Drosophila melanogaster: one gene and its partners. The protein of the gene in region 3 purifies or fractionates together with the protein of the main gene of each other region. This does not show direct contact. Each region holds a gene or a part of one and is shown on either strand. Other genes may lie near its edges.

The links. The genes of interacting proteins can lie anywhere in the genome.
Region 1: the proteins of Tsp2A (region 3) and Ssk purify together in Drosophila melanogaster (affinity purification with western blotting, with the first as the bait; one study listed by BioGRID). This does not show direct contact.
Region 2: the proteins of Tsp2A (region 3) and mesh purify together in Drosophila melanogaster (affinity purification with western blotting, with the first as the bait; one study listed by BioGRID). This does not show direct contact.

What each region holds. Positions count from the first base shown.
Region 1 is NT_037436.4:20,185,200-20,191,244, forward strand, and holds Ssk (snakeskin), read left to right. Parts: upstream 1-3,322; 5' UTR 3,323-3,512; coding exon 3,513-3,563; intron 3,564-3,792; coding exon 3,793-3,989; intron 3,990-4,120; coding exon 4,121-4,361; 3' UTR 4,362-4,580; downstream 4,581-6,045. UniProt on the Drosophila melanogaster protein: Required for assembly of smooth septate junctions (sSJs), together with mesh and Tsp2A. May be important for barrier function of the midgut epithelium.
Region 2 is NT_033777.3:31,191,798-31,198,806, reverse strand, and holds the start of mesh (mesh), read left to right. Parts: upstream 1-3,044; 5' UTR 3,045-3,090; intron 3,091-3,297; 5' UTR 3,298-3,352; coding exon 3,353-3,749; intron 3,750-4,417; exon of another isoform or gene 4,418-4,510; coding exon of another isoform or gene 4,511-5,422; exon of another isoform or gene 5,423-5,445; intron 5,446-6,972; coding exon 6,973-7,009. Other genes in the region: CG1544 (uncharacterized protein), read right to left, coding at 1,672-1,795; bnk (bottleneck), read right to left, coding at 4,511-5,422.
Region 3 is NC_004354.4:1,343,972-1,350,233, reverse strand, and holds Tsp2A (tetraspanin 2A), read right to left. Parts: upstream 3,682-6,262; 5' UTR 3,555-3,681; intron 3,150-3,554; exon of another isoform or gene 3,115-3,149; intron 2,966-3,114; 5' UTR 2,955-2,965; coding exon 2,220-2,954; 3' UTR 2,091-2,219; downstream 1-2,090. Other genes in the region: MTPAP (mitochondrial poly(A) polymerase), read left to right, coding at 988-1,090, 1,157-2,012, 4,114-4,993. UniProt on the Drosophila melanogaster protein: Required for assembly of smooth septate junctions (sSJs), together with Ssk and mesh. Important for barrier function of the midgut epithelium.

The DNA of each region.
Region 1 (6,045 bases), on a different chromosome or scaffold from region 3:
CAAAGGTCGGCGCTCCGCGGTCCGATTTTGGGTCATCCGCACTGTGGGACGGCTGCCGACGAACTGAGGCGACGACACAGCCATCAGCTCGTTTAAAGGACCCCGAAAGCAGCGGAGAACCACTGGCACAGCACTCGCCTGATAAGGATAACGACACGAAGCTGCACTTCGGCAGTCCTGGTTCGGCCTGGTTAAACAAGGCGGCCCTGTCATATGCCTAGGCCCACAAAAAGGTCTATGACTGTATTGCCACAGTGGTGTTTCGAAAAGTAGAGCTGGAAACTTCAAATAGCATACAAATAGAAAATCAAAGGAAATCGGATTTTGAAAAATCTAATTTTGTAAATATCCTTTAATATTACATATAATTTGCACGGTACTGGAAAGTTACAGATCAAATTACAACTAATAGAGTTCGCAAATCAGTGCAAACACCAGATATTTTAATTAACTTGAAAAGAAAACTACATTTACTGCAAGTTCATAGGTTATATTGCACTTTTTATAAACACTGCCAAGTTAATATTTTTGCCTCGTCTGTGAGTTGGTGCGTTTAGTATTCTATGAATATGAATACAAGCGTTTGGCAAATGTCATAAAACGCCGGTCAAATACATTTTCTTCAATTTGCAAATATTTAGGGGTTGAAAAGGATGTTTGTTCAACGCAGAACGTTTAGATTAATTGAAAGTCAAGTGCTAAATAACTCATAAATCGCTTAAAGTTTTCAGCTCTGAAGCATATGTACAATATAAGTTTACCGCAATATTTAGAGTGGCGAAAACTTTTAAATTTTGATATAAATCTCTCTTACTCTCACTTTTACCTCTCTCTCTCTTTCTCGAGCTTTGTGCGCAAAAGTAAACAAACGCAACTTTCATTCATAAATAGCAACAACGCAACCGGCGAAATCGAATCAAACTGATAATCAAAACAAAACCGAAAGCTCTCCAAAGCAGTGCTCTTCGTAATTCTCTGACTCACTTTTCGACTGTCTAGCGAATTAATTTAAATACGCCCACTAAGATTGAACTGAAATCTCATTACCAAATCGCCGTCACACCTCATTGACGCCAGTCCAAGTAAGGCAGGTAAGTTTCCCCAAAAGGTGTGCAAGTGGTCATAAGTTACTTACTGCTGTCTCTGTATCTGTATCTGAGGAATATTCTCGCTTGACATAGACTTTACAGTGCTGTAATGTAATGCCTGTAAAGCGTCGCTGTAGGAGTCTGGCTGCTACAGAACCATGCTGCAAGTGCGCTTAAGTTTAAGTTCTGACCAGTCGACTTTTTCACAGCCGAAATGCGAATTATATATATATATTATAATTATATATATAATATATATGTCCAATCTATACATATTGATTTCGTTTCGGTTCGCTCTACAAGTACTGAAGCATACATACATCGTTTATTTATGTGTGCTATCCATTGAATACATCTCAATCACTTTAATATCGTGACGCTTGAAGGCACACGAAAGCTGATAGCTACGAGGCGATTCGCTCTTTATTCTCTTCTTACTTAATTAAGAGAGGCCACCACACGAGAACTGCACTTGTGTTGGTGTAAGTTGCATGCCGGTTTTTGTTGTTCTGACGCCGATTTTTCCCCACCTCTCTGAATGCTTGATGATTCATCGCAACAAACCAAATGCAGAGGAGACAAATTCCAAATTTAACGTCGCTTGCTTTCTGGGACTCCACATGGGGATTTGAGAAGTGGGGAAGAATCCGCGGTGCTGAGCGGCATTCGCAATGGGGGAACGAAAACAAAGAACTCGACAACCTTTGGCCTTGATTTGGGAAGATATTCCTTTGCTTATCCAGGCATCAGACAACTTGCATTTAAAATGGAAAGCAGATCTATGTAAATAAATCAGTATCCATGTACCTTGCTCAAATTTAATTTTATTACCTTTAATTAAATAAATCTTATTCAATTACTTGTTTTCCCTAAGCAAATACTATTCTTAAGGCATTCAAGCACGTTTAATCACATTTTAAAAACTTGTATACAAAAGAGACAATTTCCGCTAAAACAACATATTTATTTTGAAAAGCTTAGGTTGGAAAGTTAGTTGTATGCTAAAATTAAATTTTCTGAAATGAAATCCAATAATACCCTCGGCACAGCGTAAATAATACTTGTTTATATATAGTACTCATGAATATCAGTGTGTATACTTGCTACTCAATGCGGGTCATAAAAAAAACCCTTGATGAGGTGTGATCTCATGTTTGTTCCATGTTCTGAACTTATGATTTATACAAGCACATTTTAATGTCGGCCTTAAATACAAAACACAGGGCACGAGGTGCCAAATGTGCAGTATAGTTAATTTCCCACGCCCTCCAAACTTATGCAATTATTCATTTGTCCAAAAACCATATGCATCCATTTTCAATTAGTTTTTAAACATTGAATTTAGAAACAAGGGACTGTAACTATTTCTAACTAAGTTCTTTCTTTTCTTCGTGACCTGAAAATTGTTTGCTTTTCATGTTACACAGTGTTCTTAAAACGCACCATTCATCCAAGAGTTGTATTTTTATACACCATTTTACTGTGATAAATAGGCAATATGTAAATCGAGGAACCCCACATCAACCGCAAGTTGCTTTTTTGCTCCCCAATTGCTCCTATCATTTTGCATTGTGCTCTTCCAATTGATTCGAAATCTCGAACATGGGCCACCTACAGCCACGATTATTGTGCTAGGGTTGTGATAATTGAAATGCAGATTAGGTTCCAGTGACTTTTTGTGTGTCTGAGACTTTTTAATCAGTAGCTGGAATCCACTGGGCTATCGATCATCGGAATCGTGACAAGGTCAGTGAATTTTTAATCTGTTCGAGGGATGCACCACCGGGAGCTTTATCAGTGGGAATGGGAATGGGTCACCACGAAAGTATTTCAGAAATACATCGATGACGCAAGAATAATTGTTTCCGGTCTCTCAGAGCCGCGGGTATGTTTCCCCGTTTTGTGGCTTTGTGGCCGCCATGAATAATGTGTAACAATGCTGTGGAAAGCGGCAAATCGGAGCACCTGATATATCGCGATGTAAGGCGACAGAGCTGCGATAAGGCCGTTTTGATAAGATACGCGGGTGGGGCTGGCGCATGCGCATCTGGGTTTCATTGGGCTTCGGAGCCTGAACATGTTGAACCGTCAACGAATTAGTAACCCATTTCGAACGGCACCTGTTATCGTGAGCCCTATCTTATCTTATCGCTGACCGTGTATGCTCTGATTGCAAAAGCTACAAATTCTTGGCGACACGACGAACTGGGCGCGACAGGTTGGTTGGTTGCCTTTCAGTGATATTTTTCAGTTTAGTCGACGAACGACAACGATACGAAAACGAATCATTTCGCTGTAGTTTCCGCGTGAAAATTACAGAAAAGATTGTGAGTGCCCCTTGACTGGGAGAAACCCCTCTGTGAACTAAAGCATTTGCCCAAATTCCAGCTCAGCGATAAGAGCAATCAGCATATCTAGTGCGAAATGGTGTCCGTGGAGACTGTAGGCTCTATTTTCATCAAGGCCCTGAAGCTGGTAAGTTTTGGGCTTCTTTGGTCCCTTCCTATTGAGCAATAGCCTGTTTGTGGTCGCAATAACTCGGCTGATAGATAAGCGCGCGTTTTATCAGTCCTGGCGTATTAGCAATGTTACTCATACGCCGAGTTGTACGGCAAGGCGAGGCGTGGCCAAGAAGTGATTCATTCATTCCCATTCCCAATTGTGACCTCATTTAATTGCTCTCCTGTGCGCTCCTTTTTCGCAGATCATCAATCTGGTGATCATCTTCTTGTACCGTTGGGGCGATGGTGGCGAATTCCTGGGCATCGGCGGCACGTGGAACTTAAACGAGGAGAAGAGCGCCGATGCGGAAATCGTAGCCTCAGGCGTCATGGTTGGATTCTTGATTTACACTGGATGCCACACCATTGCCTTTGCCTTCGGCACAACCAAACATAAGGGGTATGTTGAATGCCGATATTGATTATAGCTGAACTTTGACCCGCATCTTATTCCTTTTCTTGTATTTTCCGCCCTTAATTCCACACTCTCAACTCACAACTGTTTGTTTTCAATGGCTTTCCGTTTTTCAGAGAGCTGTGCGACACCATCATGAACGTGGTTGGCTGCATCATGTGGATCGCCGTGGGCGGAGTGGCACTCCACTACTGGAAGGGTTACATGTCCGACGAGGGATTCCTGTATGTGAACTCGGAGCGTCAAGTGGGCATTGCCATGGGCTCGCTGTGCGTTATCGAGGGCGCACTGTACCTGCTGGACACCGTGTTGGCTTGCATACACTATTCGAAGGGCGACACCGACTACACGCAGTAGAAACTGAATAGTGGGGATACCAATCGCAGCCGCCGAATAAACACCATCCACATTTGTCTTTATACATAGATCGATTTAAGTGCAAATTAGTTATTATCCGCAATCAATTATCAACTATACGTTCGTAAGGGTCAATTGTCGCTGTACTATACACTAACTGTTTACAATTTTCATTCACGTTTAACATCCTTAAATTGGCAAATACAAATAGTTAAGACCACGCCACGGATAAAAGTTTTTGTGCATTTGGGAACTAATTAAGGGGATGCAATGGAATGCCACTTACTAGTAAGTATCAATTGTAACCTAAATCAACTAATTACCATCAGAACCCATTGATCGTGTTGCTCAGTTTCTTTTTTTCTGATATCATTGCAATTAATGAAAGATTATTTATATATATCATACATCATACGTAAGCATTTTGCTAATTTTTGTCAAAAAACGACAACTTAGATTTGTTGACTAAACTTTTCGACTTTAAACTAACACCCAATCGAAATTTCATATTCCAAGCGATCTGATACTGATATATTGTAATTGGTGAGATATTTCATTTGTTTTTAGTACTAGTACTAGAGAACCTATTGCTCTCCAAGAACCTAATATTCTTTTAAAGAACTTGATGGAAAACTAAACTAATTGTTTAGGAACTGATGCACACAGGAAAAATGTCAGACGATTCGCAGAATTTGGTATATATCACTCATTTCTTTGCTGAGAACAGAGTTCATGAGTTGTTCAACCAAATCGATGACGCTTCAAGACGAACCTCCTCTGGAACCATGAAACTGCAACTTCCGGTGCAAATCGAAAGCGTTCAACGAAGCATTGATAAATCGGAATAAAGCCCTATATTTATCGGTCAGCTATACGCAGAAGTCTTTATGGCAATGAGTCAAAGATTAAACGGTACAGTCAAAACTACACACATTACGTAAATGCATATGGTGTATAAATAAATAAAAAAAAAAGGTTAGTCACCCTTAACTTTGCAACTGAAGAACTTATAATATTTGAATATGATCATCTTTTTTAAAATCTTTCAATAAGATCAAATCTTGCGTATAAATTAACAAGAGCTGAGCTCAACTCACCTGTTTTCCTGGCTTCCCCCGCCCGTCCACTGCATCCCGTTCCCGCTGCTGCTGCTGCTGCCGCATGCTTCTGCTCCTCCAAACGCCCGTCATACGGAAGAGGCACCGCAGGTCCACCGAGCCGTCCTCCAGATTGAGGGCATCGAAGAGCACCGCCTGATCATGGATGAAGGAGTTCCGCGTGCGCTGATTCAGCAGATCCAGGGTTCGCGAGTCCAAGCTCTCTCGATAGACATTATGTACGCGGTCCAGATTGTGCTCGTAGGCGGTGTCCAAATTGAAGGCACTGTTCAGGCTGGCCATGCTGCTCCTACCCTCCAGCGAGGTCTTGCTTCTGCCCTCCAACGAGGTCTTGCTCCTCCTGCGGCGCATCACCACCGTCCTGACCGACTCATCCATAGATGAGCCAAGGTGGACGGAGGTGCGCGAGTTGTCGCCCAGCGGAGAGGGCGAATGCGAGTGGGCCAGCGCCGAAGGCGGCAGCGGCAGCTGGGTGGCGATGGTCACCGGCTGTTCCGCCAGACTCATCAGCGATTGCTGGCGCTCCAGTTGCTTCTCGTAGCCATTGAACTTGTCGTAGTCGATGA
Region 2 (7,009 bases), on a different chromosome or scaffold from region 3:
GAATTTAAAACTATAGAGTGTACCACGACGTTTGTGCTTCCCGATGGCAAGCAATTCGTGCTACATATGAGAAATTACGATTGTTGTTTTTATTGCCTTTGTTGGGATATTTTATTCCCTGGTTGAGCCATTGACAACTCGTTGGCTGCTTAGGTGTTTACGTGTTAAAGTGTTATCCTGCTTACAGGATTTATATGCGATGACGCATATCACTCGATTACAGTACCCTGAAAATTCGAAATCCGTGGGACAGCTGGCATTTGCCAGTTAGACCGACCCCAAGTCGTCCTCAGAAATTTATGCAATTTCTCGACGGCATTTCGGCCATAAATCAATTTAATGTTAAAGAGTAGGTCGCTTGGACAGGAGCACAGGGTGTATGATGAATTGTATTTGCGGTGACAACATTTCAGCTTGAGCGTGTAAATATTATTGGAGCACAGCGGCGCGTCCTTTGCCAAGGATAATGATTGCCCTGACAGAAATGCAGCCAAAGGACGAACGGCAAACAAGGCGAATTATACCGATACTACACTGAGGCAAAACTAACGCTTAAAGTCAGTTTTAGTACGCTTTACCATAATTCAAAATACTGGTCAATTGGGTTTGCTTTAGAATATCTAACATACTTTTCCAAAGCCTGAGTAAATCCTAGACTTGATTTTCTCTATGTGCATCATCCTAGGCGCCTGATGTCACATGGTCAAGCGTTGAAGGCTTTCCTCTGGTGCCCAGTCAAAGGCTCCTGGCAGACTATCCAACTACCAACTACCAACTGGTGACTGGTGTCTGTTGGCCATGGTGTCGATAAGCCCCAATTGTGTACGCAACGGATGCAGGACAAGCACAAAGAAGCTCCCGTTTTGGGGTCCTTTGTTTGCCGGGCTTTGATATTTAGCCGGGTCCTTTTTGGACTCCCTGCCGTGCGTTTTGGGAAAAGATATAGTATCTCTGCACTGGACATCCGCCTCTCTTCACTTAATTAGTGCACTGCACGGGGGGTCTGCCACAATCTCCTCATTCTAATTATAAATTCGGGGTACTGGGTGTAGCGCCATATATTTCGGGTTTATCAGATTTCAGAGTGAAAACATGTGATAAGCTGAGAACGTGGAGATTAGCTTGGGTAGGTAACAGGAAAGACGGTAACATTAAAACCATAAAAAATATTCCACCAGTCAACAGGAGCTGTTCTTTCTCGATAGTATGAGAGGCATAAACAATGAACTTCAATTTAAAAAATATTTTGCGAAATTAAGTTAAACCTGAAGTTAGTGAAAATAATCCTAGGTATCCATACGTATTCCCGTATATACCCTCCGATTACAGGGTATACAAATGATATATCTTCTTTAAACTGGTTTTCGAATTCACCCACAGCAATTTGCACTTGATCTCTTGTTCAGGCTGTTGTTTTATTGCAGTTTCTGCGGGGATTGTTGTGGGTCAGCTGCTTGAATTCCGCTGATAAATAGCCGGCTGGAAAATCCGACACGAACGCACACACACGCACACAATGTCACTTCGTCGGTTTTTCTTTTTGCTTGGGTAGATTTCCACTGCCCATTCATATGAATGTTTGATCCCGAAAGACTCTTATCGATGCGATGGTTATCTCGACGGATGAGGTTTTTATTGAAGTCTTGGCAACACACTTGTTTACAACCGTACCTTGAAATTCACGCTGGGCAATCGGCTTATAGCCCCAAACGCCCTTTTCGCTGTGATAGCACCGCGATTGTGGGCGTGGCAGTTTTGCGATTCCCGCCTCCGAAAGCGCCAGATAACGCAGCATGCTGATGGATTAAAAACGAGGCGTGTATGCCGGATCACCTGATAAGTTCGCAGCGAAATCGCGGTCTCTTCTCGCCGCCGTTCGACCCAGAACTAAGGGCAATTCACTTTTGTTTGAAGCCGGGACCCCCATATTCCAAATAAACTAAATTGCTGATAAGCTGGGAAATAAACCGGGAGAGAACAAATCCCTCCGAAAAGTAGTGCCTACTTTTGGGCTGGTGGTGTGATATGATCGCTGTTAATTAACAGAGCGCTTGTTAAACACATGTATGAGATGATAATGAATTTCAAAATAGTTTCTTATCAGTTAACTAAAGCTGATAATGCAACAGGTTCGTTGGCCAATAATGGATTGCCTTTGAGAGAGGGAAGAGTTGTATCCATTAAATTAGTCATACATATGCTCAGGAATATATTGAAATGAACTGTACCATAGTTAAAAACATTTTTATATTTATATATATATTTTATACATAATTATGCTGTCGTTTGTTTAAAAGATATATGGGGTACATTTTCAACACCAATTTTCCCCTAACAATAACCACTATAAAAATATATCTTATCCTTCGATTTTTATTATAGCAATGTTTATCTGCATTATTGTTTTATAATACCCTTTTAGTCACACAAGTTGATCCTCAAAACGCTTTGATTTTATTAATTTGGAGTTCCCCACTCTGCACTTGATTTCTTCATTAATGAGGACCATGACACTTTCATGTCCTAATGAAATCCATCAGTAGGCTTTTTTACGGGCGGCTGATATTCATAACTCTAAAGCTTCATCGGAAATGCCTATTAATGGTCGGTAATGGGTCATTGTCTATAATTAAACCGGAAGCGTGCTCTCATCAATTTCGCATCACACACATACATGTTTAGGCTTTACAGCCCATTCAGCTTTTCACAAAATGGCCGCGTCATGAGTATGATTAACTGTAATGGAAGTGAATCACAAATCTGCCAGAGACCATTGTCAACAGAGAGAAATATAGGTAACGGTCCCACGAATGGGCATAAACAAATAGGTTGGTAAATTTGGAGCACAGAGAAGAGAGTGAAGCTTCCCGAAAAAGCCAAGCGGGCCGAAGAAGGAATGCGTTATCGGTGCGTAGTATTCCATTGATAAGATATGCCTAGCTTTATCTGGCCGATAAGGCAATGTTTCACAATCGAGTAGACGGCGACAGGTGAACTGAGTTTTGGCAACGCCCCGATCGGGCCGTTAGAGTTAACTTAACTTCAGTCTTAGCTGAGCGGCTCGCTGCAACGAACGTGTTTTCCTGCCTGGTAATTAAAGTTAAAATTGAAAATTGGTGACAAGTGATAAGAGAACTGATAAGCCATTGCCTTAACTGATGATGTCATCAAGTGAAAATTGTTAGAAAATGAGGATATCAGAGGAAAAATAGTGTACAAATTCGCATGAATTGAGTGCTTATTGAGTGATACTTTTATTGTGGATGCCTAATTGATGCCTTTGTGTTTTTCTTTTAGCAGTGAAACGAAAAAACGAATTACCAATTAAGTGACAAATCGAAATCAAGTGAACATGCGTTTCAAACTGTTTGTGGTTTGTGCGCTGGCCTGCGGGTTTATGGCCTTTGTCCTGGCTAACGAGAATATATCGACGGAGGAGTTCGAGGATCAAATAATCAATGCAGTTCCGGAGCCGGTCAAGGTGACTAAGCCCAAAGCTCAGGCGGAATTCGTTGAGGTTCCAAAGGCCACGCCCGCTCCCAAAAAAGCGGAAGCGGACAACCCGAAAACCAAACCACTGGCCCTGCAGAAGCCCACTCTGATTCCCGTGGTGCATGTCAGCAGTCGGGGAACAGATGATATCCTCACCGTCGCGGGACTGAAGCCCGAGAAAATGTTCGGAGCCCTCATCATGCCAAATGACTATTTGGGGGAGCTGTACGACGTGGACAACAGCGGCTACAATTGGGGTGAGTAGGTTTCGTTGTCCCTGGGCTGATTCAGTTCCACCCCATTACTCATACGCCGCGTTGACTATCTTATCAGAACAGCTCAGTGGGTTTCAGTTTGGTTTAGTTACCAATATTTGCTCGATAACCTGTGTTCGGGCATTCAGGTGTAGGTGCTGTAAGCCCCTCTCTCTCTCTCTCTCTCTCTCTCGCTCTGTGTTCTTCCCGATAAGATAATGCCCCAGGTTGAGGCATTAAAAAGCTAACGGTTTCTTGTTTTCCGCTTCGGCAAACAAAACAGGTGCGTGGTGGCATAGTGAATATACGCATATGTATGCACACGAATATAGGTGTGGACACGGCGGACAGCGGGAGCACGGAGTCTTGCGTGATTCAGTTTACAACCTGTGGTAGTGTGTGGATTTAGCAATTCTGTTTTATCAGTCCCCTAGAACTGATATATTGGCTATTCGGAATTGGAATTTTTGCCGTATTAGTCACAGTCATTTGTTAGAATGTAACTGTGTAATAAAAAAGGGTTTGGTCAGAAATAGAATATCGAAATATATATGTGGAATTACTCACCGATTGCAAAGGAGTAATGGTTTAAAAATATTGTAATATTTGTAATGCCTCACTTGCCAAGAACAAGACGCTTACATTTTGTTTCATATATATATTTATATTTTATCTTATATTTGAACTGTCTTTAGAAGCTTAGGCTAACTTATAACTAAAGTAAGGCAATCCTTTGGAACTTACAATTAACCTAGTTTCTGGACCTAAGCACTCATCGAGATGCGCTGCTCGTACTCCGCGATGCGCAATCTCACGGGAACCACTAGACTGAGGTCCTCCATGATGGCGTGGTTCTGGGTTCGTACTGAGGCACTGGAACTCTGGCGGGAGATGGTGGCCCTCGACTTGTCCATCGAAGGCTTGCGGCGCAGGGAGCACTTGCGCTGGCTGCCCCCCTTGCCCACGCCCATGGCTGGTACATGGGGAGTGGCAAACTGGGCGGTGGTGGCCGACAGTCTCTTGGGCTTGGGTGGTGGCACTTGTCCGGTCACGGAACCACTGAGACTGTGGTCGCTGCCCAGGAAACTGTTGGCGGTGCTGCTGTTGGCGGTGGTTGTGGCAACGTTTTGAGGACGGGCGGTGCGCAACATGGCTATGAAGCGGTTGTTGGTGGAGCTTGCTTGGGGCATCAGCTTGCTGAAACCCGACTCAAAGGTGTTGGTCAGCTTGTTGAAGAAGTTGATTTTGTCGGTGACAGTGGGTTCCTGCTGCTGATGCTGCAGTTCCTCCTGTTGCAGTGGCTGTTCCTGTGGCTGTCGCTGTTCCTGCTGTCGTGCGGTTTGTGGTTTCTCCTGGCCATTATTTCGCTTGGACATTTCCAGCACTTTTTCCCTCAACTCCATGGACCAGCGTTTCTGGGCCGTATGCAATTTGGGTCGCAGTGGGGATATGCCATTACCCGGCTCCGTTTTGGCCAGTTCCACGGCCAGTTGGCTGGTAAAGCGCGGCTTGGGCGTGGAGGTGATGGTGGGCTGGGCGGACATGTCCTCATCAATGTCCATTTCCAGTTCGCTGATGCATGAGGACGAGGAACGGGAGGCTGTGCTGCCGAATCCCGGTGAGGACGGGCTAAGCTTGTAGTTGTAGAACTGGAAGTTGAAAGTGCTGATGCTCATGTTGACGGTTGAAGTACGAATGTGCTGTTGAGACCAGGAACGCAGACCTTATATAGGTGCACTTCTAAAGACTACCTGGTCCAGTTTTCACCCCCGGCAGCTGGTGCCAAAAGTTCAGGTAGCCGATCCCGATAGGCGATACCCAGCCTAACTTAATTCCGGGAAACTACCTGAGATCACTACCTAAGCTATGAAAGTAAAAAAGGAAGATTTCTCAAAGGAGCGATTTCCCGGTAATTGCAACCCGAACACGCGAGTTTTGCGTGTTTTCCGCGCACCAATTTTTGGCAAAAGACTGACGGCTAATCCGCACACTTTTATAAGGACCACCAAAAAGGATTAGCGAGGGTATCGAATCATAAATAGCTTAAAAACATTAAACGCGACAGATGTTCAGGGTTTCTACAAGCAATCCGCTGGGGTTTATGGCCACTTCACACTGTTGACGTTTCATTACCTGGCTCGTTAAAATCAAAATCAATGCAATTAATGATTCACCCGACACTCTGCAATTCACAGCCGACAAAATAATAGAAGGAAATGAGGGAAATAAAAACGGTGTTATACATTAAGCATACTACTGCAATTTCCATATATTCAAAGAGAAATACGCAATCAAACTCAGATGGAATGGGAAAATATCTGTGCAAAAGGCGAAATGAGGTGTCAGGATCGTAATGGGGTTCATTAATTAATGGAATTATAAATGAAGCTTAAATTGTATGTAAGGAGCGGGTTCCATTGAAATAACAACTAACTTAAATATTAAAATTGAATTTGTGAAATAGAATTCAGGGAATTCAGCTGGGATAGGCACGAAATGAAAAGTTAAAGATGCTGCAAAGTAGACTGTGATACCTGCACTGCCCACTAATATTGTTTCTGTAAAACAAAAGACAATTAAAGTATTTATTAGTTAGCTAATTGAACTATAGAAGTACAAGACAAAGCTTAAAAATATTAAAGTATTCCTGCAAAATGCAATGAATGTCAACCGCTTTTGGTGCAACCACAACTCTCCAGGGATGTCAGGAATATTTTGAAATCTTTCCCGGGACTTCACCACGAAAACTTCGCCAGCAATTTAAGTTTCTGGCCAGCGTCAGGAGCAATATCCTTAAGCGGATCCTGGGTTCTTTCATGGGCACACGTTTGCAGTGTCCATTGGGAACGTCAGCTTTGCACTTAATCAGCTTAAATTGCTTTAAAAGGCCAGCGGTGAGGCGAAATTAGGAAAAAGGGGCCAAGAGTAGCAGAGAAGAAGGAAGACAGCAAAGTTTGCAGCGCAGAAATGAATATTAACTGTGACCTTTAATGGCCAAGCACCCGGAACGGGAGCTGCAAGGATGTGGGTGGCAAAGTTGCAGCCGGAAAATGCAAAAGAGGCCAGGAAAAAGTTTTCTTTCACTTTATGCCTTGCAACGCAGCAAGTGCCAGGGATAATATTGTGGAATTGAAAAAGTAATCTCGCCGGATTAGGTGTGAAATTATAATGATAGGCCAGAGCTCACCTCTCTAAGCTATTTGTCTTCTCCTCTCGCTGTTTCCAGATCCCAATAACAATGTCGCCCCGCCGACCACATACTC
Region 3 (6,262 bases):
TTAGTTGAGAGCGAATAAGTTGTTGCTAAATGGATATGTTTCCAGTGTTCCGCACACAAAACAGAACGCATTTCGAGGAGACATATGTGATACTGAGATAATAAGTGAAACCAAAACCAGAAATCAAACTCGATGATTTGGCGCCTTGCATTTAAGACGACAACACACACAGCACACAGAGCACAATGAAATTGTTACAGAACACAAGAATGAGCCACATAACACAAACAACACCTAAGCTAAGCTATAATCCTGTATTACCATGTCGGTGGACAATAACAGTCCTAATTGATAATATATATAAACCTGTACCCGCGTACACTCACTCGGCATACGATATCAGCAATAACCGCACTCTATATACACCCAATATATGTATATATATCACTCGCATATATCCGATATATACACCTCACGTTGATTGACTAATGTAACCGATCCAGGAGTGTTAGGAAGATGACTAACTAACGTATATTTAAAAAATATACCCAATCGTGTCCCTTTTGTACGTGTTTAGTCTAATTAAACCTAGTTTTACGAAGCCCGTTCATCCCACGGCAAAACCCGCATGTAATAATAACAATAATAACACAATAACTGGGACGTGAAATAAAAAGTTTATGAAATTACAAACTTTTGAGTTTGGCGCCACCTAGAGTAATCGATAGATTTTCAGGGATGCATAAGCTTCTTTTGGAAGATTGGCATTGCAAAAACCTCTGCACTAATGGTGATTGCCTAAATGAAAGTGGAGCTATAATGTGCTTAGGATGGCAAAATGATATGTTTTGTTATCATCTAACTCTTAAGAATGCTAAAATAAGCCACGGTTTTGGGACCAGGGCTGCACACCCAGCGAACGCGACCGATAACCAACTCGACCTAACCTCAAAAATACAGCCCAACAATATTCGGTTAAATTCCAGATCCGAAATCACCCACACCAAGTGGGCCTAGGACTTGACCTGCCCACACCCCAAGCCCGCCATGAACAGCTTAGTGCGACGCAGCGCCCAGCAGCTGAGCCTCTGGCGTACATATTGCATAAAGCACAATGCTTCAGAGGCGGCTTCTCCCGGACGGAACGCAGGTGAGCCGATTCTGGCCGAGATCTGTTCTGTTTAATATTACTACCACTGTCCATGTTCGCCAACAGGCAGGCCCAACTACGAGGAGTTCATTGGCCGTCATCAGCGACAGGCCCAGTGCAGCATTGTGGTCCAGGTGAGCTCCGAAAAGTCGTATGAGGAGTTGTATAACTACTGCAGCAGCTTCGGCTCGATCATGGGTGCCCACCACTACTGCGTGCGGCAGGACGAGACCCTGCACTACATCCTGCTGGAGTACGCCACGTCGGACGAGGCGGCGGCTGCCATCGGAGCGGGCGTTACCAATGGCGAGCTGAGCGGCGTGCCCGTGCGATCTCCCTTTCTGTGGTTCCGGGCAGCGGGAGGAGGCAGACGGAGCCCCAAGCTAGTTGCCAATACAGCGCCCGCACTGCTATCCTTGGACGGCACCCGGCAGGTGGATCAGCGCCACCTACTGGGGCTCTTACGTGGTGCAGCGGACATCGAAGAGCAGGTGCAGCAGCTGTACGAGCACACGCGCCTGAATGAGCTGGGAATCCGTATGCGCTTTCTAGCCGCCCTACAGGTGCAGCAGGCCATTGCCGGCATGTTTCCCGCCGCCCAGGCACAGCCCTTTGGCTCGTCGGTCAACGGATTTGGGCGAATGGGCTGCGACCTGGACCTCATCCTGCGCTTTGACAGCGATATGGGAGCTAAGATCCCACTGGAGGCGGCGGTGCCCTCGCGACTCGTGTACCACACCAAGGAGAACCTGAGCAACGGACGCTCGCAGACGCAAAGGCACATGGAATGTTTTGGAGATATGCTGCATCTGTTCCTGCCCGGCGTGTGCCATGTGAGACGTATTTTGCAGGCGAGGGTGCCCATCATCAAGTACCACCATGAGCATCTGGACCTGGAGGTGGACCTCTCCATGAGTAACCTGTAAGTGCTATGTGCTAAGTGCTGTGTGCCTGCTTATACCACCATTCGTCTGTCTGTTGGCAAGCAATCTGTGATTCCCGTCCGCTGAGACACCTTTCCTTGTGAGGGTCGCAATCTTTATTGTACTTATTGTTCGAACTGGGTATGAATTCTTAGATCTATCGAAGGGTCACTTGTCGCTACTAACTAAATTAACGAGGCTGGTCTTCAGCGGCGGTAGTTGCTGGCCTGTTCCTCCTCCTTTTTGACCGCCTGCACAAGCACAAAGCTCATCACCGCGCAGATGACGTTGAGCAGGCCGAGCGTCATGGCCAGAGCCACAATCCAGCCGGTTTTGCCCTCGAAGAACCAGGTCAGCTCGTCCACGCATCCGTTGAAGAAGGCGTTGCCGCTGACGGTGTCGCGGCAGGAGCTTGGCAGTGGCTGGCGCAGGTCGAGATAATCCCATGGCCCGGTGGCCCCGCAACAACCTATGTTCTCCTGAATCATGGTCAGCACGTAGTTCGAGTACGTATACTCCGATGTGGCCACAAAGCCGCGCAGCGATACATTCAGCAGCGGCTGCAGGCTCGAGTTGATAGTGCTGAACTGCAATAGGACCGCCGACCCGGCCACAATGGCGATGAACCCAAAGACCTGGGTGCCCACGAACACAAACAGAGCCAGGGTGTTCTCCATGAGCGCGCTCAGGCAGCCGAGGAAGCTGACGGCCATCATTACAATGCTGATGCCGATGAGCACGTACACGCCGATGTAGAAGGACTGTGCCTCCAGGATGCGCAGCCAGTCGTTGAAGCCGGGCTCAGCCCTCAACCAGACGGTTAGGGCGAACAGCGCTGTGGATATCATCCAGGCCACGATGTTGAAGCAAAATAGCGTGTATTTCACGCAGCCAATTTGCTTCTCCAGCTGCTCGTCGGAGGCTCCATAGCCGATGCCCATCGTTTCGGAAGCTGCAAGGCAAGAGAAGGATCATTAGGTGGATGATGACAAGTGCGTGATCTGAAAACCCAGGACAAAGGAGGCGCTACTTGATAGAAGCACTATTTAGACGGTGCATTGATCCTTGCTCATTTTCGAGGAGCTCCATTGAGTCACATACCAAAAGCTCGCCCTGGTCGCGCCTATTAATCACGATGTTGCTTGGCATTTATGGTTGATTCTCCCCGCCCTTTCCCGCCGTTCACTGTATCATCGTTGGCCTTATCGGAGCTGTGTTTAGCAAATAGCGTTATCAGCCACGCACTAGATGATTAATACGAGCAATTGCAACACCAAACTATTCAAGAGTATTGAAATGGGCCAGGTACTGGAGCTGCGGGCGTATCCCTGTGCACCTGAGTAACATCCTCCAAGCATCACTTAAAATCAACTTTTGTAAGACGTTTTGTGTAGATACGTTTATCCATTGGGAAACTGTCTTTTGGGTGTGGTACCCATACCGAAATTCAACACTTCTTCAATAGCACTTAAAAAAAATGGACCATCCATTTATCATTTCGTAGAAATGGGAATTTGTAGGCACTTTTTACTAGGATTCACCTTGCTTGGGTCGATTCTCGTGGGGTCGGAAGAAAAAAATAGCTAGCTCAGTGGCGGACTAGAAACAGATGTCCGTTGGGCTCGTTCGTTGAAATCGTTTTGACCAGACTTGCGGCTCGGCTGAGATACGCGGCGGTGACAACATCCAGGCTAGTGGGGCCGTACAGTCAGGCAGGGGAGGGAGAGCGGCCTTAGATAAGAAAGCTTCATCAGCTCGATAAGATAAGATAGCGGCAGGTGGCGATTGCCAAATGTCGTGTATATGTGTAAATGGTACGCTGCTCTCCCGCAGGTGAGCAGGTGAATCAGTTCTCTCCGCGGCACTGACTTCCCTGGCGTGCCGATGGCCATGATTCACATCCCATTCATCCGCCCCTGATAAGTACCCGCTGCACGCATATCCGGCCATTGGTGGGGGTCAGCGGGCTACACACCGCTGGTTGTCTCATTAAACGAGGCCACGCCCGTTTTTACCTTCCCGCCTTTGGGGCGATCAGTATTGCATGTTGGCATTAAATATGTTTTAAGAAGATGGTTTTAAACGCAATCCCTCTTCCAGCACTGGCTTTTATATGTCGGAACTGCTTTACATGTTCGGTGAAATGGATCCGCGCGTACGGCCGTTGACCTTTACCATTCGGCGCTGGGCGCAGACCTGCGGCCTCACGAATCCCTCGCCTGGTCGCTGGATCAGCAACTTCTCGCTCACCTGCCTGGTCATGTTCTTCCTGCAGCAGCTGCGCCAGCCCATCCTTCCCACAATTGGAGCGCTGGCCAAGGCGGCGGAGCCAGGGGACTCGCGGGTCACCGAGGACGGGATCAACTGCACCTTCACCCGGAATGTGGATCGTCTGGGCTTCAGGAGTCGAAACCAAAGCTCGCTGAGCGAGTTGTTGCTGCAGTTCTTCGAGTTCTACTCGCAGTTCGACTTCCACAACCGTGCGATATCTTTGAACGAGGGAAAGCCGCTGTCCAAGCCGGATCACTCGGCCATGTACATCGTAAACCCACTGGAGCAGTTGCTAAATGTGAGCAAAAATGTTAGCCTGGAGGAGTGTGAACGACTGCGCATCGAGGTGCGGAACGCGGCTTGGGTTCTGGAGTCGGAGGTGGAGAATGCCTCCGTTCCGGAGGGCGACGGCCAGGAGCTCTCCTGCGGCCTGTTGAACCTGTTTAAGCATCCCGAAAAGGCCGTCATCCGGCCGAACATGTTCTTCAAGCCGCGCATGGTCGAAGTGAGCGATCTCTTCGAACAGAAGGAGGCGGGAGCAACGTCCAGCTCAACTCCTCCCACACCAGCCATAACCTACAAGAGTGCCTCTGTGCGGCAGCAGGTGCAGAGCATCAAGGCTGCTACGCGCTCCGAACTAAAGCAGCTGCGCGGATCAGGCAGCTCAGTTCCGACGAGCAGTCCCAATAATCGACGGCGAAGCAGGTGATGTTTCCGAGACTGACACCGCCCATGTACATACATACTTAGGATAAGCCACAACTTCACATTCATGGTGAGTCCAGCTTAAGGTTAGGGCAGCCGCCGTTGGCTGAATTGAATGTTGTTCATACTTTAAAACCTCCTGCTAGTTAGGATAAGTCCATGATCGATCCGACTTTGAGTATTGAAACCGATTGTTGTTGACGAATGCGACCAAGTGTGGCAGGGCAGGGAAAGATCGGTGGGGCACGTCAAAAAGAGCCGAAGGAAGCAGTCATTATTTGACTTTGTGGATGAGTAGTTATCCGTAAGACATACTTTCCTAGTTCGAGTAGTTATAATTCTGTTTTTTATGATAATAAAACGAAAATACCGTACTGGCATATAGTTTCTCAATTGGAAAACACCACACAAACTTCCAAACAAGCTCGCTATTCCCCAAGTTGTGCTAAACTAAAGAACAGAAGGCAGGATTTTCGCATTTGTTGAAGATTTTATTGCGTTCTTTCAATGTTACTCGGGATCCACCACATCTTTATCCTTATCGCTACGTGTTACGTGTTTCTGGAGAGCACAGAGAGGTTACTTAAGACCAGATGGCGAGTTTTCTTAGCCGCGAGGACCACCGCCATCCACCCATTGAAGGTTTGTATACAAGTATGCATATGAGGCTGCATTTTTGTGTGTCTGTTCTCAGCTCTTGGTTCCAATTGCGTTTATTTTGATATACATGATCGAGTTTATCGTTCGACTTGCGCGATCATCGCTTTGATTGATCTTTTTACAAAATTTGATACTATGTTTATAGCTTTGTAAATGGGCGTCGATGAGCGTGTGCTGCGCTGCTGCTTCATGTTGTTGTCTATTCCCTAGATTGGTTTTTGTAGATTGTTTAATGTACATAACTAATTGCTTGCTTACGACTTTAATGCTTAATTTTATGCATGTAAATCACGTATTGCATACAAAATTGCCTCCTGTAAAATTAACCAAATTTCGGGTCCGTTGTGTGCTGCTCGTGCTGCTCCTGCATATGTAGCAGATGTTGCTCGTACTGCTGCTGCTACATAATAAAATAATTTACAAATGAAAGAGAGACAAGGGACGGTGTGAGTTGGGGAGAAAATAAACTGATGCTACGATGCTTCCTAGTTAAATAGGTACAAAAAAGAGGGCGCCGATACAAGCTGCCAGCTGGCCAGGACCCAGGACGAGGGGAGCGCCCTGGTCCTCCGCAGAGCGCAGATCTCGACATCTTCGGCGGCTACTTAGACAA